4 linked regions of the Drosophila melanogaster genome follow. Changing the gene in region 2 together with the main gene of any one other region gives a genetic interaction. Each region holds a gene or a part of one and is shown on either strand. Other genes may lie near its edges.

Region 1 (6,742 bases), on a different chromosome or scaffold from region 2:
CAGTGAATTTTGTATGTTATTTTGTATGATCGTTATCAAAAGTACATATAAGCTTTATATGGTCGGAAACGTTTACGTTTACCATACAAACTTTTCCACATATCTAATTTATGAGATAATTTGGAAATGCACTTACGCTCTGGTATAATTCCCAGATCTACACGCAGGAGATCCATAATGTCCTCTACATTGGGAGAGATGGGTGAGTAGTAAATGTAATCCAGCTCATTACCGGGAAAGTACAATTCTCTAAGAACCATCTAATAAATAAATTGAAGTCCAATGATAAGGATTAGTGTGGTCACAGGTTTGTTATCACATGCATACGTATGTACAAATATAAAAAGCAGATAAAGTAGCAGTGCGAGGGAAACTTACTTCATTCTTTGCTTCAAACTGGTTAATTTGGTGAAGCACGGGCTTGACGGACCAGTGGAGGTACGCGGTGAGTACTCCGGCAAATCCGGAGCAGATAAGGAGCAGGGGCAGCAAGTTGCGTTGCAAGTAGAGCAAATTCTTCCGCAGAAAGACGAAGAACAGCGGGGTAAAAGTCCCAGCCATTTTCTGTTTAACATCAACTTTTCCCTAATTTTACTTTGCTTTGTTGAATGGCATTTTTTCTCTATCAACGTCGATAGTAATACTTATCGAAATGGGAACCGCACCCGCTCCTGAGACTTGAGTCACTGTGGGAATGAATTCAATAACATTGGACTTGTAGTAAAAAACGGAGGAACGCTACAAATAATTATTGTTTACTGATAAGTGTACAGTCTACTCGTAGCCAAAGCCAATGGGGGTCATAAAATAATTTTAAAAAGTGTGTAAACTTGGAATTTGTTTTTTATTTTCTTGTATATTTCACATTTTTAATTTGTTTTTTTGATTTATAAGTAAAATAAATATTGTTTAATTATATTTCATAAAAAGTTGCATTTAATTAAGCAAAGAACTCTTAATTTGTACCTTTAAAGTAAGAAATTTAACTTATTCCACAGTGTGTAAACAGTATATGTATTGGCTAAGATTAATACCATGCAGTTTCGCCATTACGGGCCATTCTTCTAAACTTGTTATAGCCATTTTATTTTGGTTAATAACAATAATATATATTAAAATTTATTTATTATATTCAGTTGGAATAATTTCAATTTGTGATTAAATTTTGCAGCTTCATTTTATTTATCGTTTAATATATAGCGTAAAAATAGCCAGAGTAGGACCACAGTCTTCGATATATCGATAGGCAGTGCCCTGAAATCGAAGTCTGTTTATTATAAATTTTTTATCATAATGAGCGGCTCGCAATTATTCCCAGTGAATCTGAACAACCTGAGTGCCAAGGAGCGACACAACTATATACTTAGTAATTACGTGCTTAACCTACCGAATGAGACGGAATCACGTCGGCACAAGCGAGACATCGATGTAATCCGAGAGAATCACCGCTTCCTGTGGGAGGACGACGAGTTGGATAGCGACACCCTAAGCTGGGAGCAGCGCTTGGCCCTGCGATACTACAGGAAGCTATTTAAGGAGTACTGCATCGCGGACCTGTCCCGCTACAAGGAGAACAAGATAGCGCTGCGCTGGCGAACGGAGCAGGAGGTGGTCACCGGAACCGGGCAGTTCCAGTGCGGCAGCCGGCATTGCGGGGAGCGGGATAATCTGCGCAGCTGGGAGGTAAACTTTAGGTATATCGAAAAGGGTGAGCCCCTAAATGCGCTGGTCAAGGTGGGTTCCAAATGGGTTTCCGCGATTGTGTCACTAATGGGAATTCCATAGGTGCGGCTGTGTCCCACCCACACGGATCAGCTGAACTACCGCACCAAGAAGAGAGAATGCAAGAAGCGGAGACGCAGGGAAAAGGAGGAACGGCGCGCTGAAAAGAAACGTAAGCGTCGAAAACTCGATGTTGGTCACGAAAGTTCTGGCGAAGAGGAGGAGGAGCCTGTCGAACCAGCATCCGAATCCCATCCAGAAGCCAGCAAGGAGCCCACAGACTCAAAGGATGCCACCACGGCAGACGAACAGATCTGGCAACAACAACCCGATATAAGCCGAGAGCAAGCCTCCAGAGAGCAGGAATTCGAGCGATATCTAGAGGATCTCATTTTTTAAAATACATAGCACATTTATTTGGATTCAACGTAGACACTAGTGCTCTTTTTTATAGTTACTGGCCGCTAGATGCGTTCGCTTACGAACTACGATGTACATGTACACTCACATTTACAGGATTATTCACAAGAACTGCGTGTTAAAACCGACACCAAATCTAAAGTTGAACTGGACATTAAGGCTGTGACTCTGATTGATTTTTGGAAACATTTCCGAATGGCTACATTTCAGGCATGCACCTAGTTCAATCGCTATTTCTATATCCATCGAATGCAAATCGAAGGTTCGAAAATACAATACTATTTCACCTTACGTTTGTGGTCAAAACAAATTGTTGAAATCCAGCCACTGAAGAGTTTCTAAATATAAATCGCTCTAGAATAAATATCCCCGATTGTTTACACTCGACGAGTAGAGAAATCACGACTGAGCGCATCCGCTTGAACTAGGTGTAGAAAAGACTGTTCTAATTGTATATAGCATCATTGAACGGAGAGGGATGGCGGCCGGGATTACTGCTCTTTGGGCAGGAGCTCAGCGAAGGCGGCTGTGGGCTTGAAGGCCGTCACCTCGCTGAAGACCATCTCCCGCCACTTCTCCACCGGCAGCTCGTTCTCCTCGAAGCTCTGGTCGTAGAGCGCGGCGGTCTGCTCATCGGTTGGATCGTGGTACTTCTCCATGTACGGATGGGCCAGCGCCTGCTCGGCGGTTATGCGCTTGTCGGCGTCAAGTTCCAGCATCTTCTCCAGCAAATCGATGGCCAGCGGATTGGCACCGCGGAAGATGTCGCGGAAATTGCGGCGCGGCATCACCGGCAGTGAACGAATATAGTTTCTAGCGCTCTCCGAGGAGATGCGGCTCATGAACTCATCAGCTGGCGTGCCCAGCACTTCCATGATGAGGTTCAGCTGATGGATGTGATCGGTTCCAGGGAACAGCGTGCGCCCAGTCAGCAGCTCAGCCATGATGCAGCCCACCGACCAGATGTCCGCCGTCTGGTTGTAGTGCATCCAGTTGAGCATGATCTCAGGCGCCCGGTACCATCGCGTTGCGACGTATCCGGTCATCTCGCTTTCTGCGGGACGGGCCAAACCGAAATCCAGGATGCGAAGCTCACAGTCCTCGTTTACCGCAATGTTCGATGGCTTTAGATCACGATGGATGACCCCAGCGCTGTGGATGTACTTCAGACCGCGCAGGATTTGGTAGACCAGAAACTGGACATGATCATCAGACAGTTTCTGCGTGCGTATTATGTTGTTCAGATCGGCGTCCATCAAGTGGGTCACCATGTACACTTGCTGGAACTGATCCAGCGAATCGGCGGGCTGTCCTGGATGAAAGACATCCAGCAGACCAATAACGTTCTCGTGATCCATGTGCTTCAGCAGCCGCAGTTCCCGATAGGTGCGCTTCGCATGGACCGCCGACTGGAAGGGCCTGGCAAGCTTCTTGATGGCCACCTTCGTGCTGGTTCCGCGGACCACGGCCTTGCAGACCTGGCCGTAGGCACCCTGACCCACGGGTTGCAGGTTCTGGTATGTTTCCGGGATTTCCCACTCGGTGCGATTGATGTCCAGCTTGTAGAATTTGGCCATTTTGCGCGACATTTCGTTGGGATGTTCTGTACGCTCAGGTGCGGTGCTATAATGTTATTAATCCGCTGGCTCTTTTTTTGGGCAGTTCTTCTTCTTGCTTGTGGGATTAGTTATCTCTGTTCCACACTTCGCGGCCTCAACATTGCTGGAAATGAGTAATCGTACCGGGTATTACGGGAAAACGTAGCTAATTTCGGGTATTCCTGCCCAGATTCATTTGTATCTGCACAAATAAGTTGCAACTTACATCTCTCGGATTTTATTTATGCTATTCCGCTGCGCCTACACCTTTTCTGATTGGACAACAACGCTGTCTTGGCTATCGATAACCGCAAATGGGTCCGATTTCCAATCAGCTGCTGCTCGTTTATGCGTTAACATGGTTGGCTTTAGGGTGTCCCCTACAAAAATCAGAGTCCATCGAGGCAGCGGATCAATTCACAAAGCTTCTGCGCAGTTTGGTTGACAGAGTACATGATCGTCACAAACAATAATAATAATTAGATTTTTATATGCAATTTTGATTAAAGTTTTTAAGATTATATTACAATTTAAATACTTTCAATATTATTTGGAGAGTTCTATGTATGTATTCTTTATTATCACACCTTTGAGAATAAGAAATATTTAAATTAAAAATGCATTAATTAAAGCAAAAAATGAACTTATATGAAACCATAAACTCGTGAATAATGTGGTAATATCATCCACTTCAGTAAATACTTAGTTATACGTTAAAAATATAATTTTAAGGTAGAGTACTCCCTCGTCGACCATGGACATAAAGCTAATTTTAAAGCTTAACATGGGCCGGTAACAGAAGGCGGTCAGTTGGCGCAAGCTGGTTTAGTTTCAATCGGTCGCTCGTTGGCAGAACATCGAAGGTCCGGGTCGTGACGCTTTTCGCCCGAACGTTTTTTGCACGAGTTTTTTCCATACGTATTTGTTCATTGACAAAAACTCAAGCTGCGCTCTGTGCGTGCGTGTGTATGTGTGTGTGCGAGTGAGTGTGTGTGTGCTGGCGCGTCTGTGTGAGTGCGGTGCTTTGTGTGCAGAATAATTTTTGCAAACATTATGTAAATGCGCAAATTAAAGTTCAATCGACGCCCGTTTTGAGTACGAAACCAGATCGCCTTGCTTTAAGTGCCACGGAGCTACAGTTTCTTTTCGTACCCAATTTTTCAAAGATATACTCCCTCAGTAGGCAGGCACGCACACAAACATACACAGGATCTCAAACGATCCCCCGGATATACCTTTACCGTTAGGAAAATTCAAAATGGCCACGACAGCGGCCGCAATGGCCGCAACGAGTGTAGTTGTTCTGGATCGCGGAAACAATACAACCTGCACCATCAACTTGCACGGTGAGCAGAATGTCTTGAAACAATGATAAACAACAAATGAATAGCTGGCGAACAATTAATCATAATTAAGAAGACACCACCAGCACTTTGCCAAAATTTTGTTGGCGTTATTTTTAGCGGATGATTGGCGCTTAGACTCTTCCGAAACCGAAACCCGTTTCGCCCCCTATTCTCGATGTATTCGCGACCTCTGGAGGTTATCAATTCGTTCTGGAAATAACCTTGTTTTTACCTTTCGCTGTTCTACGCACCAGCCAGAGGGCCTTTGCTATCTTATCAGCCGAGATCGTCGCAATTTAGGCGCTATATGTACATATATGCCCCCACTCGATCCAATCGCTGGGGATCAGTTGGGTTTCGGTTTTGGAAAAGCTTAGAGCTTGGAGTTTGGATCTTGGAGATCGGATCGATGCGGCTCCTACTCGCAGCACATTTCGATTAGGCGTCATATATATGTATATGGTTCGTACATATATGTATACAGGTCCCTCTCTATGAGCACCTATGTACATATGTATGTATGTGAGCTGGCACTGGTGTACCCAGCGTACTTTCAACAATTACGACTGCCTGTGTCTGGGCTGCCCACGTTGCTTTCCAAGTCGCAGCCGTTTGAGCAACAGTCAGACGGCCAGAGACACAACAGCGTTTGGAACAGACAGCATATCGTACACCGGAAGAAATAACTACATATATATCTAATGGAAATTCTTGAGATCTTCATAGTTTCTTATCGGAAAGAGTTTCAGTGGCTAAGGCATTAAGGATTAAAGATCTTTACTAAATTCACTTGCAATGATTTTCTTAAAGATATTTATATGATCCCATGTATATGATTATTTTTCGTGTTCCACTTACTCTTCCTCTTCAATTAAATGGCCTGTGAAAAACTAAGATATATACTTAAACTGATGCATTGTTTTCCTTTCAGTGTATCTTATCACATGTAATTCGAACAATGTTAATTATTAGTTTTCGGAGGAGCTTTAACTAAACTCGACACCAAAGTGTTTCCAATCATAATAATCAAGGTGCCAGAGCAGTGGCTACGGCCTGTCGAAAGCCCATCGCACATTGGGGCCAACTGAGCGAGATTTTGGGGAATAGCAGCAGCTCCTCCCACGCAGCCAAGTGCTCACCCACCCATTGGCCGTAGGCCATCGTCATGCCCAGAGATCCATACCCGTAGCGTAACCAAAACCAACCCATATCCCAGTCTTTAACTGTACCAGAGATTCGGTCTCAGCCAGTTAGTTTACTTACAGGCCAGTTACTTACTCTGCGATTGTGTGCGTGCAAGTGTGCGCGTATGTGTGTGTGTTTGTATGTGTTAGCCATGTGGGTTAGAAGTGTGTGCGTCATGTACTTTGCTTTTTAGGTTGTTGTTGTGCAATTCCCACAGTTGATCCAGCTTCGAATTCATTCATTGATTCACAAGTTCCGATGTTACTGAAACTAATTTCAACGACAATGCAATAAAATGAGATTAAATAAGTGTTTATTAATAGTTAGTTATTAATACATAGTTATATTACATTTATTTCTAGTTCTTAACTTTACTATATCATAGTACGATTGTACAAAACTGAAAACTAGTTAAGTTCCGCTGAAAGCTTGAATTGAACTCGATTTACTGGGGGCATAGTTAATACCTCT
Region 2 (10,627 bases):
TTTCAACTCCAGTCACTCGCTGCACGAATCGTACTCGCTTTCGCTTTTCTTGATTTTCGTTTTGATGCCCGGCGTTCCGGGAGTTGTGGTTGTGGGTGATGGTAGCGTATTGTTGTTGTCAATAAGCGCAAAAGAGCTATTGCCTCCAATGGGTTTGTGGTAAGTGCTTGGTGGACTGTCCACACAATCGGACGAGGTGCACACACGTTCTTGTATAATGAGTTTCCACAAACGCACTTCGATGCCAACGCTGCAAAATACCAAAAGTTAGTTGAGCATGGATTAAGTGTACTTTTCTTATAAGCTTTAACGCACCGCAGACCCAGCCTCATGAGGTCCAGCTTTTCCATGTTATAGATAAAGTCGTCAAATGTAAAACCTTCATTCAGGATGAGCGTCTTTGAGAACTCGTCTATTTCCTGCTGGGTCAACCACTGCTCCAACTGCTCGTCTACTTCGTGAAGACCAAAGTGATGCTTGTTTAGCTGCCTCCGGGGATTGCCCGCTATATTCGGACGGACTCCGGACGTTCCGCCCACACTGGTACTCATTCTATGGCACTTTTTGTTAAAGCCGTTTATTGTGCGTCTGTTAAGATGAAATTGTGAATTATAATAAAATTTACAATGTCCTACTTGGTTTACCAACCTTAATCTCTTTCTGCCGCCCATGTAAATGTGAGCCAGCTCCTGACTGATATTATGCAGGGCCCTCATGCTCTGCCGCTGCTGCTCAAGGAGCTGGCGTTGCAGCTTCTGCTGATTGTCACGGATGTCTCTCAGGATGCGCGCGCACTCCATCGAACTGGACAGAGCATCCCCGCCCGATTCCGCAGGCGTTAATCCCACACCTTCGCGAGTGTTGCTCGTGGGAAGAACTTTTTCCAGGCTCTGCTTTTCCTGGCTCTCGGTGGAACCCTTCTGCATTAGACTTGTACGCAAGCTCTCATCATCATTTCCAGACAGGTCTTTGTCCGCCAGATTGGCGCCCAGTTCAGGAGAGAAAATAGTGACCGCCGCCTGGACGGCCCGCTTAACCAGATTATCCAATGCGAACATCCAATGGGGTTTGATGCAATGGTACCGCAGTACGCAGACCACGGCGTCCTGAAAGGAGTACAGCGCCAAATGAAGATGGTCCAGAGCAACTGCGTCGTTGTTCAGCTTTTGTTTCAGTTCGTTGATAGTCGCTTCCAAATGCTTTTCGTTTTCGTTCATAATGTAGTCCCGCAGTCCTCGGATTAGAACCTCCAAATCGCTTTTCCTAATCGCAATCGAGTTCTGATCAGCGTCGACCTTCTTCAGCCAAATATCGCAGATCTTGGATTCGTCTAGTGCCAGCACCTTGGAAAGCGTTGTCCGCCTCTGCGAATCCTTTTTAAGCCTGTAAAAACCGTCAGTCTCGCTCGTCTCACTAATGCTCGTACGCAAGGACGGCGTGGAAGGTTCAATCTCTGGCGAGAGCAAAAATCCATGGGAATTTCGCCGTTCAAGCATAAACTGGTTGCTGGGCAGCTCGTCAATGTCCACCGAGGATGAATGCGTTATGCTGAAATAGGAAACAGAAAGTACAATATAAAATTACGTTTATTTTACAATACATCAAGTGCTATCTCTTCTCAGTATCAAAATCCGAGTGCGCATTTTCCAATCATTAAATATGCACTTTACTGATAGCAACAATCAATGTGTTAACTACACGATAAGCAAAGGCACTTGTTACTCTTATAATAGTAGACGATATGGGAAAATATAGAGAAGCACGGAAAAATTTTTATATTCATTAAAATTAGCAAAATATAAATGATAATTTTCAACAGATAAGATAACCTCTGCTTGTAATTGAGGAAGGTCGAACATGATAAGAATAGTCGCAGCGTTTAACTTACTCCAATTCCGGCGTTGTGGGCGTATTGCAGGTTGTGTTGTAGCTCAGCGGCGGTGTGGTTTTGTGCACAAACCGATCAGCCGGCACCGAAATGCTGCGTCCGAACTCAGTATTGATGGGCAGGGCTGGGCGCACCTTGCGGGGTTTACTTATTGAGAAAATTAAAAGTGCAATTAGAAAGGAATTAGGCAAAACAATTAAGCAAACTCACTCTTGTAGGAAGGGATCTTCCAGAAGTTGCGAGGCGGAGGGTCGGTCCATCACGCTGATGGCAAAGCAACGCAAAATAAAGTTCTTTGCGTTGGCGGACAGCTCCTCGGGTATGTTCGGATGCTTCTTGTAAAAGCCCACCTTGAACATGGCCGCATGGGCGCTACCCAGCTCGATAAACGGTGGTTTGCCCGTAGCCATCTCAACGTTTGTGCATCCAAAGGACCAGATGTCAGCCGCCGGGCCATAGCCGCGTACTCCCTGGTCAATCACCTCCGGCGCCATGTACTGCAAGGTGCCCGTAAAGGTCTCCGTCATCGGGTTGATGCGGGCCAGCCGCTTGGAGGTGCCGAAATCGGAGATCTTAACCACGCCGCTATACGTGTTAACCAGCACGTTGTCACCCTTTATATCGCGATGAACAATGTCCTGCTCGTGAAGGTACTTCAGCCCCTCGAGGATCTGCTTGGAGTAGAAGGCCATGGTGGACTCGTTGTCCTTGAGCGGACCCCATTTGGTCTCTAAGAGGTCGGAAAGCGATCCTCCCGGCACCTGCTCCATGAAGATCTTGAAGAAGCCGTTCTCCGAGCACGATCCCAAATAGCGAACTATGTTGCGATGTCGCAGCTGAGAGTGTAACTTAATCTCCTCGTGCAGTGGCTGCACATCCTGCGAGTTCTTTTCCGGCACCTCCTTAATGGCGATTCGCACCTGCGTCTGCTTGTCCCTGGCGGCGTACACGGTGCCATAAGTACCTTTGCCCAGCACCATTTTGCGATTCTGCTCATCGTAGTCGTACTCGTACTACAATTAATAATAATTAGCAAAAGTGGCCGGAATATATGTATATATGAATAATAAATAACTTACCTCGATATTAGCGTCATCATTGCTGAGATTGACAAACACCACCTGATCTGCAGTCATCTCCAGGATCATATCGTAGAACTTTTGTCGTCGTTCAGTGGAGGGAAAATATATTTGAAAATCATCTGAGTTGTGATGGACGTACAAGTAGGCACAACGATCATCCCTCTTGTAAAGGCTGACGGACTTGATCTTCGATGCCACGAAAAGGAAGTCGTGGATTTTCTTACACGCATTCTTTGCGTGAGCCAAACAGATGTTCACAATCTGAATGGACTTCTCATCCGCATCCATGTTTATAGTCACATAACTGGGCATATAAATCTTCTGAGGCTCGAGGATCTGGAATTTGTTTTGAGTTAATAATAAAGCTTAAACTGCAGATCAGGGGTACCAACCAGAATCGGAAAGCGAATGCTGTTCTTAACCTCCTCGGTGTTGGTGGCCTCCAGAAAGAAGTCCATCCAGAACTGGAACACCTGCTCCTCGATGGGCGGCTGGCGTTCCTCGGGCTTCTTTCGAAATCGATGTATAAGAGAGATATTTCCGATGGTCGACTTCAGATACCAGTTGGGTGGCTTTAGCTTGAACATGCACTCGGCAGCTTGAATCGCCTTGGCGTAGTCGTTGGCCAAAACGGAGATCTCAAAGAAGGTGGCCACATCCCAATACTCACTCAGCGAGGATAGGCTGCCCTTTTTACCGATTAAATTGTTTAAGGTCATGCCGATGTGCTGCAACTCCTCCGTATTGGTAAACTCCTTGCCCTCGATAACCAGCAGAGTAGCCAGATTGATGCCTGCATACTCATTCGGCTGCACCTCAAAGCTTTGGCGGTACCACTTGATGGCGTGCGCCAAACTGGTGGCGTCCGTGTAGTCGGATTCCACAAAGATGTCCTTGTAGATGCGGCCGCACAGGCAGAGCATGTCCGGAAAGTGGTTCTCCTTCTTTTCCAGCGCCTTCAGCGAAGATTCCAGAGCCTTTTCACGGTCTCCCTTTCGATTTCTTCGGTTCAGGGCGAAGGCGTACAGGAAACTCATGTTGCCCGTCTCCACGTACTTCCGGGTGTTGGGTATGTTCTTCAGGTCATTGACCAGTCGCACCATGGCATCGTAGTCCTGCACATCCCTCAGCGAGCACATGAAACTGTGTACCACTTCGCCAGACAGGACATGCGGATCGTCCAGCCGCTTTCGCATCTCGTGCAATATACTCTGCAGCTTGGCGCCGTTGGTGGCGTACGTGTCCCGCGCCGTTCGCATGTCACTCAGAAATTTCTCACGCATGTGGGCTCTGTAAATAACCGAAAATAGCTTCGTTTAGTTTTTAGGTACACAAATAATGCATAATAGGAACAGTGTTTCGTGCTCTGGCTGAAAGACTAATTAACTTAGCATCTATCTGGTACACCAAATTTAAGATTTCAATTACTTTCATTTCATTACTTGTTAACCCGTAGTAGTATCACTAAAGTTCGAAGTAATTTAAATTGAAAGGACAATTATGATACTATAAAGAGACTTAAGAATTTTCAGCGATTATTGATATTTTATATGCAATTCCAAGGCCAACACAATAAATCGGTCTGATTCATTTTAGATGCAGGGCGTGACTTTTGCAGCCAATCTGCCGCAGGGGATGTTATAAATAGTGTTCCGATATGCAATCACCGTGCATGACTTACTGCAAAAGGGGACTCCCTAGATTGTACTCACTTCGACTGGATCTCAACATCTTGCAGCTTTCGCTTGAGGCGCCACTGCAAAGTGGGCACTCGTCCTTCGGCATTGGGTTCCTTGCTGTTGTTGCCGCTGTTGGGCTGGCTGGTCAGGTGGCAGGAATTGGTCTCCGCATTCCGCTTGTAGCTGAGAAACAGGTAGTTGGCACACGAGAGCTGCAAGGGGAGTAGAGTGTACCTAATTTAATGACCGCCACTGTGAATGCAGGCCACGCTGCGTTGGTGTACACCGTGCTGTTAGTGTGTGCGTGCCTCTTTGAGTGTTTGCGTGGGCGTGCTCGCATTTGTTATTGTTATTGCTGGGCCAATGCTTTTGTTGCTTTATGGCCGCAGCCAAAACAAAAATAACGAAAACGATTCGACGGAAATACAGTCGAACTTCCATAGTTCAAATTATTGGCTGCCATATGGGAAAGAGGTTTTAGTTATTAACCTCTGGAAAGAGGAAGTTTTTCGGTTTCTTTTGCAATTTGCTAAAGGAAGACTAGTAGATAGAATAATTTTTAGTCATTTTCCAGAAAGAGGTGTCTAAGCACCTAGGTTAGAGACTTGTTATAAACTCAGTTCGCGTTGTGGAAGCTCGACTGTAGAAAGATCAGCAAGAACAACTAGTCCAGGAGTCCACGCAGTTGCTGGTCATAGCATTTATCTTATCGGAAGCGGATTCCCGATCACGAACGCAGATGTTTGCCAGGCACGCCCGGCCAGGTAAACACTTCCGAACGCACCTTGAGACTGAGCGTCTGCTTGGAATCGATGTCGTTGTAGGTGAGGATGTTCTCCTTCATCCCGAAGCTCTCCCTAACGCCGTAGTGATAGGAAAGCGGCCGCTGCTGGGTGAGAATGCTCAGGTCGATAATGGCCACATCGGCGTTGTAAAACGTCTCCAGCACATTCGTCTCGCCGAAGTCCAGGCGCTCGAACTGCAAGGATGCCAAGTGGGGGGGATGTAAGTCAAATCACCCATATGCCATTGTATAACCAAGCTGGCGCACCTGAACCCGCTGAAAGTTGGCGCCCGCCGACTGCACTGCCTGCTTGATCTCCTCCAGCGCACACTGGCGGTCCTCCAGATGGTCGCCCACCGCCGTATCCATTACACACACCACATCCATCGCTGTTTCCATCGCAGCTATTCTTGGCACTTTTCTGCTCTTGGACGGATTTCGCGCACTTCACGCGATTTCTGCACTTTCTGGACGGCCGACACGCGCAGCTCAGTGGCAAAAACTCTCATTACCACGTTCCTGCTGCACTTGCATCGCGTTAATTACCGCGTAACGAATAATTATCAAATAAATAAAGAAACTTTTTGCTTTTGCTGTGTGACCGCTGCACAGCTACCAGCAATATACCGAATGAAGTCACAAAAATACCACACAAATATGCTAACCGACAAAGCCTTGCTGCAGTTTTGGCGCCAAGTTCCCATTTTTTTGAGTCATTTAAAATTTGGTTTAAAAGATATAATATAATTAGGCATATAAAATAATAAGCTTTGTTTATAAATATATTTTAAAAGCACTTAAGGTTCATTATTTTAATTAATTTACAAATATGCAACGTCTAAAAAGTAGTCAAGAGTTTCACTTATTTTACTTTACTTTTTGAACGAAGATTTATTGTTTTGCTAACTTTTTCTAAAGAATTAAAATGTTGTAGGTGTTTTTTTCATGTATTTCTATCTATTATAAACAATTATACAACTCAATAGAACTAGCAAAATAGTATATTAAAAACGTTCTTTATTAAACGAGACACAAGTAGTACGGATATATAACTTTGATCTTAACTAGCATATTCCTTTAGAATGGAGCCCGCGATCACCAGTCGCTGGATTTCGGAGGTGCCCTCGTAGATCTCAGTGATGCGGGCGTCCCTGTAATGACGCTCGGCCGCCATGTCGGTCACGTAGCCCATTCCGCCCAGGATCTGGATACACTGGTGGGAGCACAAGGTGGCCGCCTCCGAGGCAGCCAGCTTGGCCATTGCAGCTTCTTTGGTGTAGGGCTGCTTTTGGTCCTTCAGCCAGGCGGCGCGCCAGGTGAGCAGACGTGCCGACTCCATGGCCAACGACATGTCCGCGATCTTTTGCTGGATGGACTGGAGCTTGGCAATGGGCTTGCCGAAGGCCTGTCGCTTCTGGGCGTAGTCCACGGCCAATTCGAGGGCAGCCTGACCAATGCCCAGCGCCTGGCCAGCGATTCCTATGCGGCCGGCGTCCAGCGTCTGCATGGCAATCTTGAAACCGAAACCCGGCTCGCCCAGCATGTTCTCCTTGGGCACCACGCAGTCCTCGAAAATTAGCTGGCACGTCGAAGATCCCCGGATGCCCAGCTTATCCTCCTTTTTGCCCAGCGAGAAGCCCTTGGTAGCCTTGGGCACAATGAATGCGGAGATGCCCTTGTGCTTCAGCTGCTTGTTGGTGGTGGCGAACACAATGGCTGCCTCCGCCTCGAAGGCATTTGTGATCCAGGCCTTGGTGCCATTCAGCACGAAGTGATCTCCCTTGTCGGTTGCTATGGTGGAAGCAGCTCCAGCATCGGATCCGTTTCCAGGTTCAGAGAGCGCGAAGCAGCCCACTCGTTCGCCGGTGGTAAACGGTGTGATGTAGTCCTTCTTCTGGGCATCGTTTCCGAAAGAGAGAAGCGGTCCCAGATACAGGGAGTTGTTCACCGACATGATGACGCCAGCAGAGGCACAGCCCCTTGAGATTTCCTCCATGGCAATGGCGTAGGCCACATAATCCAGTCCAGTGCCGCCTGATTAACAATAAAGAGATACAATGAGATACTATAAGGAGGGCTGAGGTGGGCGTAATATTAATTACCCAGCTCCTCGGGAATCGCTACTGCCATCACGCCCAGTTCGCCCATCTGGCGGATCTGTTTCTCTGGATACAGGTGCTCCCGATCGAACTTGGCTGCGTTTCCACTGAGCTCATTGTTGGCAAAGTCCCGGCAGGACTTCTGCAGCATCTGGTGCGTCTCCGAAAGCGCCGACAATGAGGCAATTTGACGAGCATTTAAAGATCTGCGGGCTGAATATCAATATCTGGTTTAGGATCTTGCTTATAGAAAACATTTAAATGGCTGGGGCTCAAAGTCCACACATCAGTTTGTCTTACCAATGCATAACGAGCGGGTGAGTACTGATTGCATGTTTGTGTGGGATTGCCTCTTACTAATAATAATTAAATATATTGCATAAAAGACGGATAAAATGTTATAAAAAAAACTCTACTATTACAAAAAATTAAAAATGGACAGTGTGACCAGAGGAGGTCACCGGCTGCATCTGCATGTAACAAGTGGTTCATCACAGGGTGACTCTTGTCCCGAATTTAACAAGTCGTCTTGTTACTAATTTAAAATTAAAATTAAAAATTACTAACTTTTCACTCATACGAAAACACTGATGGGTACTTTTAAAATGAAATAAACATAATTCCTAAGGTGCACGGAAATAAGATCCAACATGCCGCCTGAAAAATACTAAATTCCCAAATTCGTAAATTCTCGCGTGCATTCTACATTTTCAAGCTAAATAATGTTGGTACCATCAAATAATTGTTGATTTGTTTAGTTATTATTAAAAGAACGCAGACCAAACGAGGGAAATATGTCGCAGACATGCCAGAGAACGGAAACACTGACGATAGAGGCTCTAGATTTCATCTACGAGGACGAAATGGAATGTGAGTACCAATGAATACCTAAATGCCGGCTGAACTACGATTGATTTCGCTTTTTACAGACTTGCACCTAAAACAAGCGCCCAGAAAGGAGGAGCAAGTCAAGGCGGTGAAGATAAAGCGACTGACTTGCAACATAAACGGCTGCACTTACTCCACGGACCGGAGAAGAGACTTGAGGCGCCACAGGCGGTCGCAAAAGCACATGCTGCTGGAGTCCTGCTCTGACTCCGAGTCTGAGGTGGAATCGTCACTGTTCTCGTGCAACGTCTGCGGCTACAAGACCGCCAAACGGTATTGCTTCGACCGGCACAAGGAGTCGAGGCGCCACATAATGAAGGAGCAGGAGGAGTGCGAGAAGCTGATGGACGAGGCCGAGAGGGCGGAACCGGCGGTAAAACGCATAAAAAGAGTAGAGGAGCCAGCGCCCGCGGATGCGGAGAAAACACGATACACGGAAGACATCCTGACCACGTGCACGCCGTGTGACTACAGCACCACTCGAAAATCTCAATTCGAGATGCAAGCAAAAAGCCAGGCGAACATCGAGGTCGTGCAAAGCCAGCTGGAGGCTAATGAATACATACAGTATCTGCCCCAGGAGCAGGAACAGATGGTGGAGCTATCTGGGGAGTCTGGGGAGACCGAGGACGAATACCTCGCCTACAAGAAGGAGTGCAGGTGCACCCTGGAGTGCAAGCCCTGCGAATACAGAACGGCCAGGAGATTCTGCTTCGTTCGGCACATGCGATCGGCAAGGCATCTGGCCAAGATTCAAGCTGACCTTGATGGTCTGGAGGAAACTGAAGCTCTTGAGCCAGTAGAATACTTGGAAGCGGAAAATGAGCTGGAGGAGATTGATCACAGAGAGGAGAGAAATTTTGTGGAGGAGCTTGATATGGATGTTATGGAAGAGCCAGATGTTGTGGAGGATATACAGGATATAGATAAGCAAAACGGACTGGAAGAGATCAATCTAGTGGAGATCGACGAGGTGGTTCAAATAGATCCCGGCTTTGAAATGATAGAATATACAACTGCCGAAGAAAACGTTTACGAGGAGATCGTGTACCTGACCACCGAAGACAGTCCGGAGGATATTTCCTACTTCATCGCGCTGGACAATGCATAGATTTGTTAATTTCTCGACTCTTTGGTACTTTTAATTACATCGAAAGCCAACGAATTGTTAAATTACAATCAATGCAATAACCAAACTTTAGATATTAATGAACTGTATAAAAGTTTTTGACTCTTGATAAGCCAAAATTCTTGAATTAAGAAATATTTTAAATGTAAAGAATTGAAAAGCTATGAAAAGATTGTTTATTCGTTGTTACTACGAATAAAGAATATTGATTTTGAAATTTGAAAATTTTGAGTATTATTAATGTTATGTGTGAGTGAGTATCTTTGGAATTTTGTCGAAGTTTTGATGCTGCACAACACTACCAATTTTTACCGTTAAAAATGGCTTATACCAATTTTTATAATATAATAATAATAATAATAATTTCAAGCTTCCATGGAGAGAGTATTGAAACAGAATAGTTTCAATAGTCACCAATGACGGCAGGCACAATCGCGTGCGAGTGCGAATACTTTTGCGCGCCACTGTACATCTGGCAGTTTTCCATTCTGGTTTTGACAGCCCGCTTTTCATCTCTGCGCAGATTCGACGCGCACGCACTGGAACTTGTTTAACGTTTTTATGTTTTTCACTGCACAACTTTGTAAAATCAGCACACGACATTTAACACAGCGCACAATTATTTCCGTGTGTCCTGCGGGAGGGGAAGGACACGTTCACATTCATCAGCACTGAGAAGGAAAAGAGCACCACAGTAGGAGTCCCGTTTGTTGTCCTATTGATTTGCCCCCACTTTTTGGAGTTTTTCGTTGTTCCTTTTCGGCATCCACCGCCCCCGCTGCGCCCACGAAAGACAGGTAAAAACAAAGTGCAAGTGCTCCCAGTGTAAATATAAACAAAAGAGGTGAGATGTGATAACGCTCGCTCACTCTCTCTCTCTCTCTTTGGCGATCTCTCGATAATGCCGCGTGCACTGGTGTGCGTGGGTGTTCATCCAGGCGCCTATATAAAGGGCCGTTCATTCACGGCGAGCCCATTAAGTTTTAACGAGAAGCTGCCGCCAGATCCGTCAGGTGTAAAAGTACCGTGAGTCTTCGCCTCTAGGATTTTCCCATTTCTAAAAAGTGACGCGTGTGGA
Region 3 (6,291 bases), 4.3 Mb from region 2:
GCAGATTCTGGGCTTCCAGCCACACAAGGAGAAGTAATTATTTGTAAACAAAATGCCCAAATGCATAAATTTCATGCCATCACCCCGATTGCAGGGTCTATGAACTGTGTCCCCAGGAGACGAACTGCGAGCAGCGAGAGTTCCGCGCGATTCGCGCCAAAGTAAGTAATACCCTTGATGATGCTCTGATGGGAGCCACGAGCCACATGTCGGAATACTTCGTGCCGATTGGCCGGACCACCGGGCAAGGGCAAATTAGTGGAACATCGTTGACCATGGGGTATTGTTTAACAAGGCGCAATCGTGTTTCCTCTATTTGACACGGAAAACACGTCTTTCCAATTGGCAGTACGTGGTCAAATGCCAATCAAAATTTTCCCAATATTGATGAATAGAATCGGGTCATGCCATAGGTGTTTGCCAAAATACAAAGATCAAACAAGCGAATGCTGCCGTATGTTAGATACATTAAATTCATTTTGATTGCAGAAAGACCCGCTGGAGTTCAGCAAACTGAAGTACAACACCACGTATGTGCTGAGGATTCCCCGTTCCAGTCCCAATTCCGTGTTGGACGACTCCAGAAATGTCTTTACCTTCACCACGCCTAAATGTGAAAATTTCCGCAAGAGATTTCCCAAGCTGCAGATCAAGTGCAGCGACTAGCCTTCTCTGTATGGGCTCAACGCACTGCTGACCATGAGATTACATTAGATTGTAAATAATTGTATGTAAAACTTAACTTTTACTTATCGTTAGGCCTAAGAACAAACAACAAGAAACTAAACACCGATCGTTTTTTACGTGAAAAGGTCCTTAAACTGCTGTAGATCCTGCTGATGAACGGGTTTCTGACTAATAGAGCCCAAAAGTTTGCAGTCTTCCAAGCGCACGCCATGCTCAACAAGAGCTGCTATCAGTCGCGAGGTGTAGAGCACTGGTCCGCCCACCATGTGCAAGAAATCATAGTGCTTCTCCCGCCGCGTGCTAAAAAGGATTCGCTTAGAGACAAAGTCTCCGTAGTTGCTGATACGTCCCACACACACATAGCGCTGCAGTGAGGGGGCATAAACTTCGATGACTGCCCGGATACTCTCCGCCGGAGTTAGATCTGCTGCTGTTGCATAAGAAATCCTGAATGGTATGTCCAGTGCTTTGTAGAAATCAGTTGCCAGATTGAGAATATGCTCTAGTTGGGAGTCCGCTTCGTTGTCCGTTTGCGTTGCCACAAAGATTTGTACCGCATTCGTTTGTGTCGCCGTATAAAGACTAGGAATGGGCCCATACAAATCCGCTTCCGCTCTGTTGTAGCTCCGACCACAGCAGACATACCGAAGGGGCAGCACCGAGGGATACACGCACAGCTTGGTCATGGCACCAAGGTAGCTCTCGAAGGACGCACCTCCAGTCAAATAGGCGGTATTGATCTTGTTTTGCAGGTGCTCTTCCTGAACCAGATGATAGTCGGATAAGGGTGTCGCATTTGCTTCCAGGAGAACGCAACGCACAAAGTCCGGATTGGCGGTTTGAATGAAGTGCCCGTGGTTGACGAAATAGCGGGCCAGGGATTGCATGGCATTTACGTCAAAAAGAGCAGCCTGCTCCATCAAGTAGTAACGATTGTTGTCTACAAAATGTACAAGTTCCTGGCGTGCCAAGTGGGATGTAGTCTTATTTTCTGATTTGGGTATCCCATGACGATAGAGAAGCTTTTCCTCCCCTCCAACAGGGCACTGGACATGCAGAAGGTTGGGCAAGTGCAGATAGTCATGAATAAAGTCATCCTCTATGGGATAGAGAGTCTGCTTCAGAGCCTTTAGCTCATTGCGCAACGATTTCCCATGCTCTTTCAACTCCTCCAGCTGAACCGCACTACTACCAGATTTCGTTAGCTCCTTTAGGCGCTTGGTCACCCTTTCGCGTTCCTCCGCCACCTTGGACAGCTGAGCGTGATGTGTTTTATACTTCTCGTACTTGCTGAGCACAGTTTCCAAACGAATGTCCAATCCCCGGCTGGAGATGCTCTGCTCCAAAAATTGCCGCTCTCCAAAGGTTTTATTGAAGTCCATGTACGGCTGCAGAGTCACATAGTTTTCGTTCGCTTTATCGCCGGTTATGTACAGCGCGGAGATGTTTCTGCTACACGTTTTCTTTGCCGAAAGGCAGTGTTTTAATACACTTCGCAGGCTCAACATTATTTTTATTATCGAATGCAAAATAAAATAAGCCGGTAAGGCAAAATCAGCTGTCGCCAGCGCTGCCAGATCCGGAAGATTTAATAGGGGTATTTCAATGATTTCAATGTTTAAATTTATGAATATCCAGTTTTTAATTTAATTTTGTGAAAAATTTGTTCATTTAATTAATTTAAAATTTATTACTTCTGCTACATTAACTACGGCATTTTAAAAATGCAAATCAAGTTGGTCAGGTCTGAAGTTCCGAATCTCGTGGGAAACAAGTTCTTTCCAGCATTTTACAGGCAGTACCATGTTTTCGAAGTTCTGATCATAGACTGGTGCGGTGTCTTCGGCATGATGGTGTGGCTCAATAAGATCCCGAAGGTATGGATGGAGCATTGCTTCCGCAGCTGTGATACGTTTTTCGGGTACCATTTCGAGCATTTTTTCCATCAAATCGATGGCCTGGACATCGTAACCCATAAACAGGTGATGAAAATCGCACCTTTGTCGTAACGGGTACCCCTCCAGGTAATTACGCGAACGTTCCATGCTTATCCCGGTGATAAACTCCCTCGTCGGAGTACCCATTATGTTAATCAGACATCGTATTTGGCTTACATAGTTTTCACCGCGAAACAGGACACGATCCGTGATAAGTTCCGCCAGAATGCAACCAACCGACCACACGTCAATTGCCTTTGTGTATTGACCCCTTAAAAAGATAATTTCCGGAGCTAGATACCACATAGTTCCAACATGGTCCGTCATTTTGTCTGCGCACATACGGGATAAACCGAAGTCAAGTATGCGCACCTCGCTATTTCCATTAACTGCGATATTGCAGGGCTTTAAGTCTCGATGAACAACCCCGGCACTATGTATGTACTTCAGTCCCCGCAGTATTTGGTAAAGGATTATCCTAATCTCTTGATCGCTCATCCTTTTCGAACGCGAGTACCTGTGCAAATCCGCGTCCATCAGGTGAGTCACCAAATAAACCTGCTGAAATTCCATCATGTTGTGCGCTGGTGGATGGAAGACGTTCAGCAGGCTGATAACATTTCGATGATTCATGTGCTTCAGCAGACGGATCTCGCGATAGGTACCCTTAGCATCCTCCTCCCTCTCGAATGGGCGCATAAGCCTTTTCATAGCGAAGTAATTTTCAGTGCCTCGTAGTCTCACCTTAGCCACCTGGCCAAAGGAACCGCCACCCAGAAAACGAACGAACTCGTATATATCCGGGAACTCCCAAAGGCTTTCGTTAATTGCCACTCTCACGAACTCCGGCATTCTGGATTAAATGTGCAAAAATATGTCTTCTACGAAAGGAAACAGAAAGAAAACTGAGCTTGCATTTAGTCACCCGCTAAACTCTTATCTTTTCTCAACACCTTATCTATCAGTGCACATTCGACTGACAGAACACTAAACTTGTTCGATTCAGTCATCTGTATGACCGGAGATACACACATATGCTATAGACCCAAAGATCCTGCCCAAGAGGTGACAAAAATAAGGTTTTTAGTTGAATAACTTGATGTTTTTATAAAACAAATTTTTTGTTAAATAAGCAGTAAGCAGCAAAAAAACAAAATAAAAAGTTAACACTAAGAATTGATAAATTTGAGTACAAAAGACATGGTTGGAACATAAAGGCTATAACAAATAAATTGGCCTATGTAATACTTTAAATTCTTGATGGTTTGTGTTCACTTTACATCCTTTAGAACCTGAGCATACGATGGTGGGGGCTTAAAGTTGGTGACCTCCTTGTAGATCAATTCCTTCCATTTGTCTACGGGCAAATCCATATCCTCGAAGCTGTGATCGTATGGTGGTGAGGTCTGCTCGACGCTGGGCTCCGCATACTTCTCCAGATATGGATGGGAAAGAGCCTCCTCGGCTGTGATCCGCTTTTCGGCATCTAGCTCCAACATCTTTTCCAGCAAATCAATGGCCAGCGGATTGGCGTTCTTAAAAACATTTTTAAAACTTCGTCCCTTCATAGGCGGAAGTGACTGGATGTAGGAACGTGCACTTTCCGATGAGATCTTCTTCAAAAATTCGGCGGGTGGCGTGCCCAACATCTCCATAATCAGGTTTAGCTGGTGAATATGGTCGGTGCCTGGGAAGAGGGTTCGTCTGGTAATTAGTTCGGCCATGATGCAGCCCACCGACCAGATGTCCACTGTTTGGTCGTAGTGCATCCAATTGAGCATTATTTCAGGTGCCCGGTACCAACGCGTGGCCACATAGCCTGTCATCTCGTTCTCCGTTGGGCGGGCCAGCCCGAAGTCTAGAATGCGCAGCTCGCAATCCTCGTTGACGGCAATGTTTGAGGGCTTAAGATCACGGTGGATCACTCCGGCGCTGTGGATATACTTCAAGCCACGGAGTATCTGGTAGACTAAAAACTGGACGTGGTCGTCGGACAAGTGCTGCATCCGTATGATGTTGTTCAGATCTGCGTCCATCAAGTGGGTAACCAAGTACACCTGTTGGAAGTTCTCCAGCGATCCATTAGCGGGATGTGGATGGAATATGTCCAGCAGACCGATTACGTTCTCATGATCCATATGCTTTAAAAGTCGAAGCTCCCGGTACGTCCTCTTTGCATGGACAGCTGATTGAAAAGGCCTGGCAAGCTTTTTAATGGCCACATGCATATTGGTGCCACGAACAACTGCCTTTGACACCTGTCCGTAAGCTCCCGATCCCACGGGCTGCAGATCCTGGTATATATCCGGGATCTCCCATTCCGTTCGATTTATATCCAACTTGTAAAACTTTTTTGTAATGGACACTGACATGGTATTGCTTGAGGAAGGGCGTCGTCACCTTAGTTAATGGTGCCTATAAGCGAGATATGTATTGATTCTTAAAATGCCATGCGAACGATAATTCCATGCTGATTACGTTTATCTTGAGGCAGCTCTGCGTCAGTAGTACTTACCTCTGTTCCACGCCCAAGAATATCAACAACTAAGTACTGGTCCCTGGCATTTTTCCTATATTTGCGCTATTACTCCATTCCGATGCGTGTTAGGCATTCATGAATCAGATCGTCAGTGGATCAGATCGATCAGAAGCGACACACGAATGCGCTACATTTGATCAGAGTAAAGTTGTTAAAATCATTTTTGGCACGATATTAAAAAAAATCCTTAATATATAAGTAAATAAATAAAATAATATATTAACCATATCATTGCATTGTAACAAGTCTCTTTTTCCACTCTTATCGATGTCCTTAAATGTGAATAAAGGGATTAAAATTAAATAATTTTGTTAGTTTTTAATAATATTCTAAAAATTAGGTAATATAATATATTTTTAAAGCCCATATACCGTAAAATTTGGAGTGTAGAGCGTTTAAATGAAAATAAACACACGGCGTTGCCAGACCGTCAGCTGACAGTTCAATAAGAATTTATCGAATAAGTATTTGAATCAGCTGTCTCTTGTTTTTCCTGCAAATTTGAGCAGCACCATCCCCTGACCCATTTTTTGTTGCACTTTTGGTGTACTTTGAATGAAAAATAGTCAGAGACACTACTCGCGCCTGCGCAGTTTCAACGCCGGGGTTATCAAATAAGCTAATCTAATCGTTCCGTAAACGCAGCCTGACATTCCGCCCTACCATTCTCCGACGAACAGTTAGTTTCGCACGCAAGCCGCTCCCGCTCGCATCGTAACCTAGAAAACTTTAGCGTATGTACATAAGTAAATTGACGAGTTTATCTGAATGATACTGAATATATTAGCGGTATAAAAGATAAACATTACATGGTTTAACGAGTGTTCGCTTGAAAGCCTAAATGTTAGACCGCAGGGGAGCTGGAAGAAGCCACTTCAACCGCTGTGAACTGCGACCTTTGGAACCTGGACTGGCAAACATGCAGATTTTCTGTAGTCCACTATCTCAGATAGCGGGAACATTGTTAACATCGATGGCATGTTCAGCACAAGTAAAAGATCTGCGAACCGAATGCGATTAGATAGTCCGGGGGGTTCAAAGTATGGTTTGAAGGGTTGCTATAACTTCAACCCCTGAACCGTTTTTCTTTTAATATTTTCGAGGAAAACTTCACACTCCCCAAAGGCG
Region 4 (8,755 bases), on a different chromosome or scaffold from region 2:
ATTAACACCCAGCGCTTTGGTGACACCTACTGTGAACTAGGCGCCAAGTGGGTAAAGATCGATGGATCGCAGGATTCGATGTATGAACTGCTACGCAACACGGAAGGCTTGGGGAAGCAGATAAAGCAGCCGGATCGGGCCACCTATCTTCAGGATGGAAGCCGCATCAATCCAGCCATGGTCGAGCTTATCGACACGCTATTTCGGCAGCTTTGCCGAGGCTTCAAGGTCTCCGAACGAGTTAAAACGGGTGGTGACCTGCACTCGCTGGACAATGTCATGAACTACTTTAGAACAGAAAGCGATCGCATCATTGGCGTCTCCTTCCAGCATCCTAAGGATCAACTGGCGGCACGCGAGATCTTCCAATCGCTGTTCAAGGAGTTCGGCAGCATATTGGGATGCTGCCTGGAGTACGTGAACATCGAACACATAACCAAGTGTCCAGTGCAGCAGGAACAGCGCCCGCTGTATGTGCCCACTGGTCTAGATAATGTAGTGGACGATCTCATTCAGAACATGGACAAAGCGCAGCTGCAGACCGGAAAGCCTGTGGGCCAGATACAGTGGACACCAGCGCCGATGAAAAGTGTGGGTTGCCTGGATGGCAGTCTTTACAACGCCGATCACATAATATGCACCCTGCCGCTGGGCGTGCTCAAAAGCTTTGCGGGCGTTCTGTTTCGACCCACGCTGCCGCTGGACAAGATGCTGGCTATACGCAACCTCGGCTTTGGCAATCCCCTCAAGATATATCTCTCCTACAAGAAGCCCATTGGGCGTTGGCTAAAGGGAAGCCTGCGGCCACTGGGAACGCTTCTGAATCCTTCCGTGGAGCAGCAACCCGAACGCAACTGGACGCAGCAGGTCGTGGAGATCAGCCAGGTGCCCAGCAGTCAGCATGTGCTGGAGGTGCATGTGGGTGGCGGATACTACGAGGAGATCGAGAAGCTGCCCGATGAGGAGCTGCTGGAGCAGATAACTGGTCTGCTAAGGCGCTGCGTGAGCAGTCACCTGGTGCCGTACCCACAGGAACTGCTGCGTTCCAACTGGAGTACGTCGGCCTGCTACCTCGGCGGTCGTCCTTACTTCTCCACCAACAGCAGTGCCCGGGATGTCCAGCGACTGGCCGCTCCGCTGGGCGAGAAGTCGCCCGGTCTGCTCTTTGCTGGGGATGCAACCTCGTTGAGAGGCTTTGGAACCATTGATGCCGCCAGGTCCAGTGGCATCCGAGAAGCCCAACGCATTATTGACTACTATCTGAAAAGCGTGCACTGCGGTTAAGTGCAATGGGAAATCCGAATGGGCTGCTAAATTGTACAGTGTATATCAACACGAAAACTAGTCAAAATTTATAGTTACAATTCGTTTGTATTTTTAAGCAGAATACATTTGTTTTAATTAGGCGCATAACGTTAACAATAAAAATCATGAACAACATCAATGATACAATGATAGGATACTATAAATATAATGTAGCGATGGACGAACCATCTTTTGTTGCGATGTAAATTCCCTAAACATGTCGCAAGTGGAAAGTGTATGGTCTGTTCCGGGTTCCAAGTCACAATGCATTATATATCATACTGGTCCAATTTAAGTTTACTATATTAATTTATATACTAAACACGGAACAGACCTGCACAACCACTTTACTGCTCCTGTTCCATCTCGTCGGCAGCGGCGCTGACCTCCTTCCACGAGTACTCCATGTCCTCGGACTGGGTGAATCGCGAGCAAATGGCCATGCGCAGGAAGTAGACATCCTTGATCTTGGCGGGAACCAAGTGGATGTGGCCGCGTCCATTGATTCGCTTGAGAAGAGCTTCGTTCCGCTCGTTGCTGCCCTTCAGCCGGAAGCAGACCAATCCCATATTGATCTCGGCGGCCAGTTCAAATCTGGAGTCCGCCACGCAGAGATCCCCGAACTGCTTGGCAAAGTTGCAGTGTCTGCGGATGTGGGCCTGGAGATTCTCGACACCGTACAGCCGGAGGACGAACCAGAGCTTCAGTGCCCTGAATCGCCGTCCAAGTGGGATTTGCCAGTGACGATAGTCCGGAGCTGATCCCTGCATGTCGTGCTTCAGGTAAAGAGGGTCCACATTGAACGCGTTGACCACCCAACTGGGATCCTTCAGCCACATGGCCGAGCAGTCAAAGTTCACCAGCATCCATTTGTGTGGATTGAAATTGAAAGAGTCTGCTGATTCGATGCCCTTCATCAGGTGGCGATACTCGGGGCAAATGAAAGCGGATCCGGCATAGGCAGCGTCCACATGGATCCACAAATTGTGCTTGTTTCCCACCGGTCCACACTCATCCAAGTAGTCGAAGGCGCAGGAGTTGGTGGTGCCCAGGGTGACCACCGCGTAGAAGGGAATCAAACCCTCGGCCACATCCTGTTCGATGGCCTTTTCCAGGGCAGCACCACGCATTCTGTGATTCTCGGACTGCACGGAACGGAGCTTTACTCCGCCCAGAAGACCAGCCCGCTCCACGGATGAGTGAGCCTGGTCCGAGCAGTAGCCCACCAACTTGCCCAAGATGGTGTGCTCATCCCACTCCGGATGGAGCTCCTTCACCTCCTTCAACTTCTTGGCCTTGGCTCCCAGCAGAGCCACCAGTGTGGACTCACTGGCCGTGCCCTGGATGACACCGCCACCCTTGCCGCCCGAACAGGCCAGGAACTCTGCCGGCAGCTCCAGCATCTTGCCCAGCCAATCCATCATGACCACCTCGAGTTCCGTGCACGCGGGACTGGCGATCCACGTGAATCCGATGCAGGCAATCGCTCCACTCAGCATGTCCGCAACGATCGCTGGATACGAGTTGGCCGTGGGGAAGTAGGCATGAAACTTGGGACTGTGCCAGTGTGTCACGCCCGGCATGATGACTCGCTCGATGTCCTGCATCACATCCTGCCACTTCTCCGGCTTCTCGGGCGCAGCATCCGGAATCAATGGCTTCAGGTAGCCAGGCTTCACTTCCGGCAGAACGCGCCTGTAATTGCGAAAATTGCGTTAGCTTCTGATTGCATTTTGGCGCCCATTCAGTAAAAGCTCCTTGCTAATTGGCTGCGAAACTCAGTTAGCCAACAAAGGCATCAGGAATCATTGGGGTTGAAGGACACCCATCCAACCACCCCCAACTTGTTGCCACTGCCATGAAAATCAATACGAATATGTAGCAAATTGCTATGGGAACAGAATATAGATAGAGAGGCAATGCTGATAATGATGGTGGGATTTTCTATCCTTTCAATTAAAAGGAAGTACTACTAAGAGGTGAAAAAAGAAAATAAAAAGATAATTTCTCTATATATATGTATCTTCAATTAACAAAGATTCGTTTAAAAAGTTATCTAACTAAGAAAATAGTTTTGAAACTTCAATGTCGAAGGAACTTTAATAAAGCAAAATGAATTATTATATTACGCTCTACTTAAGCTTGATTTTCAATTAACCATTAATTTCAGCGACTGTCGATGGGCAAACAAACTCAGCAGCTGTAGTAAGAAAATTGTTTACTTAGCTGACTTTGATTTTCAAGGTAATGGAAACGAAGCCGTTAGAAGAATTGCCCAAGAATAGTGAAATACCCGAATTGCTTTTGGCCAAGGCGTTAGCAGTGCAATTATATCTATACTCGTATACATGAAAAACGACCTTGACACGCCAACTCAACAAAGCCATTTAATTAATTAGTTTTCGGCCCAAGAGCAGCGAAAGTACTTGGCCCTCGAGCTAATGGGAAGGTCGCCTCAACCCCCTAAACAAAATGATATATATATATAGATATATATAGCAATGGAAATGTCCGATCGGTGCGACTTTCCCGTGACTAATCTCAAAACGTGTGCGAAATGTCATTCACTTGCCCGGGGATTCGAATCGAGCAGAACGAACTTTCGATTCGAACGTAAAATGCTGAGGTCAAGCGACTGATTCTGATACCATATAAATGAAATTCATACGCTAAATTAAGTTTAATTCAAGCTAATTGAGTAGGGAGTCTTAATCTGGCTCACCTTTCGCGTATATTCTCCAGATATTCGGCTATAAAGTCGACCATTGTCTTGGCAAAATCCTTGAACTCCGGCGCCTCCATGTCGATCTTGATGTGGATGCAAAAGTATTTGGTTATCAGACGTGCATAATTGTTGGCTCTATACCTAAACCCAATAGACATACCGAAACCTTGGGATCCAGCTTATCCGGCGAAATGTTAGCTTTACCATTACCATCAGTTTGTTTTGTTGGAATTGTGTTACTAATGGGTATGTGGCTCATTTCAGAGATTTACTTTTCGTTTGACTTTTGCAATGATATGAACTCGAATGGTTAGAGCTAATATGAAAGAATGTGCGATTATTGAAAGTGTTATTAATAGAAGTGCGTTTTTGAAGATAGTGCTAATCAGTGCAGCAGCTCAAACAAAAAATGCTATCGCTGCAAACACGACAAATGAACGACATTGAATACTAATTACTTGATAGGCAAAACGATGATGATAATAGTTATAATAATAAGGTATTAAGGTATTAATAGTTTAAAGCGTTTTCCCATCGAGTGCGCTGCTTAAGTATAGGCTGTGAATTAGTATGGTAATTAGAATGTTTAATGCATTCTTGCATTAATCAAGACTGCTTTATTTTTTTTTTTTTTCTAAATTCCAATTTTAACAACGTAAACAAGTTGGCATTGAGACGACGACTTGTTGCCAGCTAAAATCTTATTTTAATAGATACACAAAAGCATGCAGATACCGAAAGCCGAGAAAAGCTTAAGCACTATAGAATTCGGGGCCCGAACTATCAAATTGAACCGAAGCAAGGCTATAGTATATGCCCAGTTTTAGATACACATTACGTATACGCAGCGTTAGCCCCGAAATGAATCTTTCGCATGCACATGCACTCATTATGTTGGCCAAGCACTTCAGGCAGCTGAGGCTGTTGAGGAGCCACACTTTCGTCTCTCACCGTTGCACTTTAGTTAACTGCTTTTAATTGTTTGCACTTGTTGCCGAGCTTTACTTCCGTTCCGAACTAAATCTTTGCTCCAAGTTCAGTTTGCCCTCCTGGTTTAGAACAGCTAATATTTATTTGCTGATATTTCGATGCTGATATTTCGGTGCTGATTGCTGTGCGCTTGGCGTTCTCCTCTTAACTGAGCGCTGCCCGCTCTTGGCCATGGCTTTTAAAGCCCGTCCAGCAGCGCTGCCAATTCCGCAGGACCGGTTCAATCGCAGTCCGCAGCCGCTGAACTTCGAATCGCAGCCGCTGTCGTAAAAACAAATTCAGCTCTCGTTTGATTTGTGCACGTTTTTTGACACTTTTTTGGAACATGCATTAATTGGGCGCTGAATCAGTAACTGGATATCAAAGGCTTTATTTTCCATGGATTTATTTAGAATTTAAAAAAATATATATATATACATACATGCAAGCTATTACATTTTATTTGCCAGCTCTGTGAACTTAATTTGATTATTTTTGAAATTAGTTTGAGAACCTAGTGATATTTAAAACAGCAAGCAAAACATTTTGAATTCTACTCACGTGCTTCCCAACTCGAATTTGTGGAAAGAGAGCGATCTCGTCAGGAATCCCCCAATTATGAGTCACTCGAAACAGGGTTTTTCTTGGACTCCCCGAAGAAAAAATCACGCAAAAAAATGTAAACAAAGTTATATTCGTAGGAAAGACAAGAAATTGATTAAGCCGTGGAATGGCACGCTTTACGCGCATCTTGGAAACCGGTTATTAGAGCACCACATATGACGTGCTTTTTGAACCGCTCATGGAATTGTGACGTCAAATAATCCAATGCTCTCACTCACTTTCGCATTGTGCTAGGGGAAGTGGGCTAGGTTGAGCCTTTTGAGCGGGCAGTTCCGCATACACTGAGAAAAATTCAAAATTACTATAGAAAGCTAACGACTTTTGGATGCCAGTTACTTGGCCGGAATTTCAAAATTCAGTTGAAATATCAATAGAAATTGGCAAGAAACAATAAATATGTGGCTTAAATGTTTATGCCAAATATATCGAGAGATATAATACAAAAATTCAAAATATTTTTCAAAACTGTTTTCGTGACCGTTTTTTTTTTTTAAAGTTCCCAAAATCTCGAAGTTTATACGGACAGACAAACATGGGTATATCGGCTCGGCTAATGATATTGGAATACGACAGGAAAATCATTATCTTCCTTTAATTACTATTTAAAAGAATCAAGTAAACACTTTTAGCCTACGACAAAAGAAAATAATTTCTTTCAGTGTAGGGCTGCTGAGAATCCTGCGGGTGGTCCAACTGTTGCTGAGTGCGAGCAAAGTGCGTGTGCCTGACATTTCAACGAAGCCACTTTGGCAAATCACTTGGCTGAATCAACAGATTTATACGCCATGCCAACGGCTCTGCTTTCGATTTTAATGCGCTGGGTGCTCCACCCACACGCCAGCCAACAGCCACCAGCCACCAGTCGCCCAACTACCCACCCACATTATGCTGCTTTACGGGTGGCTGGAGTTCGGGTCGATTGAGGCGAAGAATACTACAATTTGATTTATGACCATCTTGAGTTGCGAATGAATGCGAAAGTATTCTCCGCTTATAGGGGTCGAATGGCGCCTTTGAGAGGGGGATTGCATAAACAGGCATCATATGGGGTAAACAAGGGCCGAGATAAGCGAGCGGGTGTTTGGTGTACACATCACATCGCTGAGCTTCAATAGGTCACGTATTTTGTCTAAATCTATATGATATGGGCAAGTGATTAGATTCGTTTTAGGATCGATCTGTAATTAATTGGGAAAGTAAAAGTAAAGTAAAAAGAAAGTAAAAGTTCATAAATTAAATAACATTTCCTGCATAACCATAACCACACTCAATTTAAAAGCCCACTCATGTAGGGATTATCATTTATTGTTTGTTCACATAATGAAATTTTCTTACGGTCTGTGTTTCTTTCAATTACTGGAGTTGTTTTAAGCCCGGTGCCGATCTTAAGGACCAATTCAGCAGGACGCGCACACGAACGACTCAAACGGAAACAACAAAAGTTGAGCCGCATTCGGAGCGCACACTGCGACCGGATTTCGAACCCGATCGGGAAGATAATGGAAAAACCGATTACATGAGACAAATTTTGGTTGTTTCGCTTAGTATTCTCCAGTCAGTCGGGCGCGAACGCTTTAGAGTAGTGCATATTTCAGCAGAAACAAAATCGAAAAGTACTTAGTAAATGCTATAGGTAGTTACAACTTAACGGAACTAGATGCACCCAGCTACTGCGCGATGGTCGATGGCAGATTGAGCAGCGTGCTCTGTCCGCTGGGCAAGTAGGCGACACCACGGGACCGGGATAGCTGGTAGGCGATATCCTCGGCGGCCTCAATACGTCGCAGCTCCACCAGACCGTCTCCGGCCTCGCCGAATGACTTGGCCAACAGGCCAGCGGCTTCGGCATCACCCTCCGCCGAAATGATGGACGCCAGCTTCTGTTGCTCGGCCTTCTCCACGACAAAACGCGCCTTCTCCGCCTCCTGCTGGGCCACCTGCTTCATCTCGACGGCCAGCGTGAACTCCCGACCGAAGGTCAAGTGCGTGAGCGAGATGTCATCCAGAATAAAGCCGAACTGCTTGGCACGTACAGTCAGTTCCTGGGAAACGCGCTGCGACACCATCTGCAAAGAGGTAATCACGTTAAGTACGGGCATGAAAGTATTATATTTCCGACTGCATAAGTTGAATAATAATCCAATTCTTAAGCTTCAATTCTCAAAAGAGCAATAAGCCTAGACTTAAGCGCCGAGATCGCGTTCTTGCTTACACAATCAAATTTAAATCGAAAATAAAATACGCGTGAAATACGATGAGATCTGATGACCTGATACTAAGTAAACATAAGCGCCTCTGGTGAAACACAAGGCCCATCAAAAAAGCTTTATCCTAAAGAAACTGAGGGCTCTCCTGATGTTTTTACTCACCTCACGCTGGGTGATCAGCTCGCCGGCGTCGAACTGGGCGACCACAGCCTTCAGCACCTCAGGCGCGATGGAGGGCAGGACACGCTCGTCGTAGTCCTGGCCGAGAATGGTGTAGATCTTGGGCAGCTGGTCTGGAATGGGGCGGTACAGGATTCGGAGCGTGATGTTGACATTCTGCAGATCCTTGCTGCCCGTTATCACAGGAACGTTGCGGGGCTGGGACCGGATGTCGAAGATGATGGGCCGCTGCACCCATGGGATGAAGAAGTGGGTACCCTCGCCGACCACGTTCTCCTTGATGCCGGTGAAGCGATCGAAGATGACCGCCCGGTGGCCGCCTTCCACATTATATAATGCCGAATTGACAACGCCACCCAAAACGGCCACTCCGAGGCCCATTTGGCCAATGCGATTAAAGAACTGAGCAGCCATTATCCTTTGAATAAAACAAACGTAATGTATTTAGTTACTGTTCTATAAACTATATATGTAAATGAAAGCCGACTGGACTTGGAAATTTCATCAGTTTTTAGGTTAGAACGTCATGGTTTAATGACAATGTGCTGTTTGCGTGTTTTTATCCCCTGTTCTTCCTGGTCTTCAAACGCAGTTAGCTCGGCTCGCTCATAGACTCACTTGTTAAAGGTTTTTGGTTGCACTTAAATTAAATTATTGTGCAATTTTGCTCTTTGAAATGCAAAACACGAAATACAACCACACGGCCTGTTATCGATAATACAACTGTCGGTGGGGCCGCCATATA

What was found.
Region 1: of Ask1 (region 2) and p38b, changing one suppresses a phenotype caused by changing the other (phenotypic suppression), as found in Drosophila melanogaster (one study listed by BioGRID).
Region 3: of Ask1 (region 2) and p38c, changing one suppresses a phenotype caused by changing the other (phenotypic suppression), as found in Drosophila melanogaster (one study listed by BioGRID).
Region 4: of Ask1 (region 2) and Ddc, changing one suppresses a phenotype caused by changing the other (phenotypic suppression), as found in Drosophila melanogaster (one study listed by BioGRID).

Annotation. Positions count from the first base shown.
Region 1 is NT_033779.5:13,777,989-13,784,730, reverse strand, and holds p38b (p38b MAP kinase), read right to left. Parts: upstream 4,043-6,742; 5' UTR 3,967-4,042; intron 3,865-3,966; 5' UTR 3,732-3,864; coding exon 2,634-3,731; 3' UTR 2,122-2,633; downstream 1-2,121. Other genes in the region: Eato (engulfment ABC transporter in the ovary), read right to left, coding at 137-260, 379-561; CG16890 (uncharacterized protein), read left to right, coding at 1,294-1,734, 1,786-2,121; CG9008 (uncharacterized protein), read left to right, coding at 4,999-5,086.
Region 2 is NT_033777.3:19,875,117-19,885,743, reverse strand, and holds the start of Ask1 (apoptotic signal-regulating kinase 1), read right to left. Parts: upstream 6,026-10,627; 5' UTR 5,821-6,025; coding exon 5,701-5,820; intron 5,629-5,700; coding exon 5,434-5,628; exon of another isoform or gene 4,862-5,433; coding exon 4,683-4,861; intron 4,261-4,682; coding exon 3,363-4,260; intron 3,307-3,362; coding exon 2,968-3,306; intron 2,902-2,967; coding exon 2,099-2,901; intron 2,036-2,098; coding exon 1,889-2,035; intron 1,549-1,888; coding exon 649-1,548; intron 589-648; coding exon 316-588; intron 251-315; coding exon 13-250; 3' UTR 1-12. Other genes in the region: Arc42 (Activator-recruited cofactor subunit 42), read right to left, coding at 6,494-7,467, 7,536-7,745, 7,833-7,866; CG17186 (uncharacterized protein), read left to right, coding at 8,327-8,402, 8,462-9,531.
Region 3 is NT_033777.3:24,146,707-24,152,997, forward strand, and holds p38c (p38c MAP kinase), read right to left. Parts: upstream 3,498-6,291; 5' UTR 3,477-3,497; coding exon 2,406-3,476; 3' UTR 2,314-2,405; downstream 1-2,313. Other genes in the region: Kal1 (kallmann syndrome 1), read left to right, coding at 1-33, 95-161, 490-666; Slimp (Seryl-tRNA synthetase-like insect mitochondrial protein), read right to left, coding at 801-2,195; p38a MAP kinase, read right to left, coding at 3,896-4,996. UniProt on the Drosophila melanogaster protein: Kinase involved in a signal transduction pathway.
Region 4 is NT_033779.5:19,115,129-19,123,883, forward strand, and holds Ddc (dopa decarboxylase), read right to left. Parts: upstream 5,179-8,755; 5' UTR 4,982-5,178; exon of another isoform or gene 4,347-4,981; 5' UTR 4,290-4,346; coding exon 4,191-4,289; exon of another isoform or gene 4,114-4,190; coding exon 4,028-4,113; intron 3,001-4,027; coding exon 1,653-3,000; 3' UTR 1,355-1,652; downstream 1-1,354. Other genes in the region: CG10561 (uncharacterized protein), read left to right, coding at 1-1,284; Phb1 (prohibitin 1), read right to left, coding at 7,291-7,689, 7,993-8,424.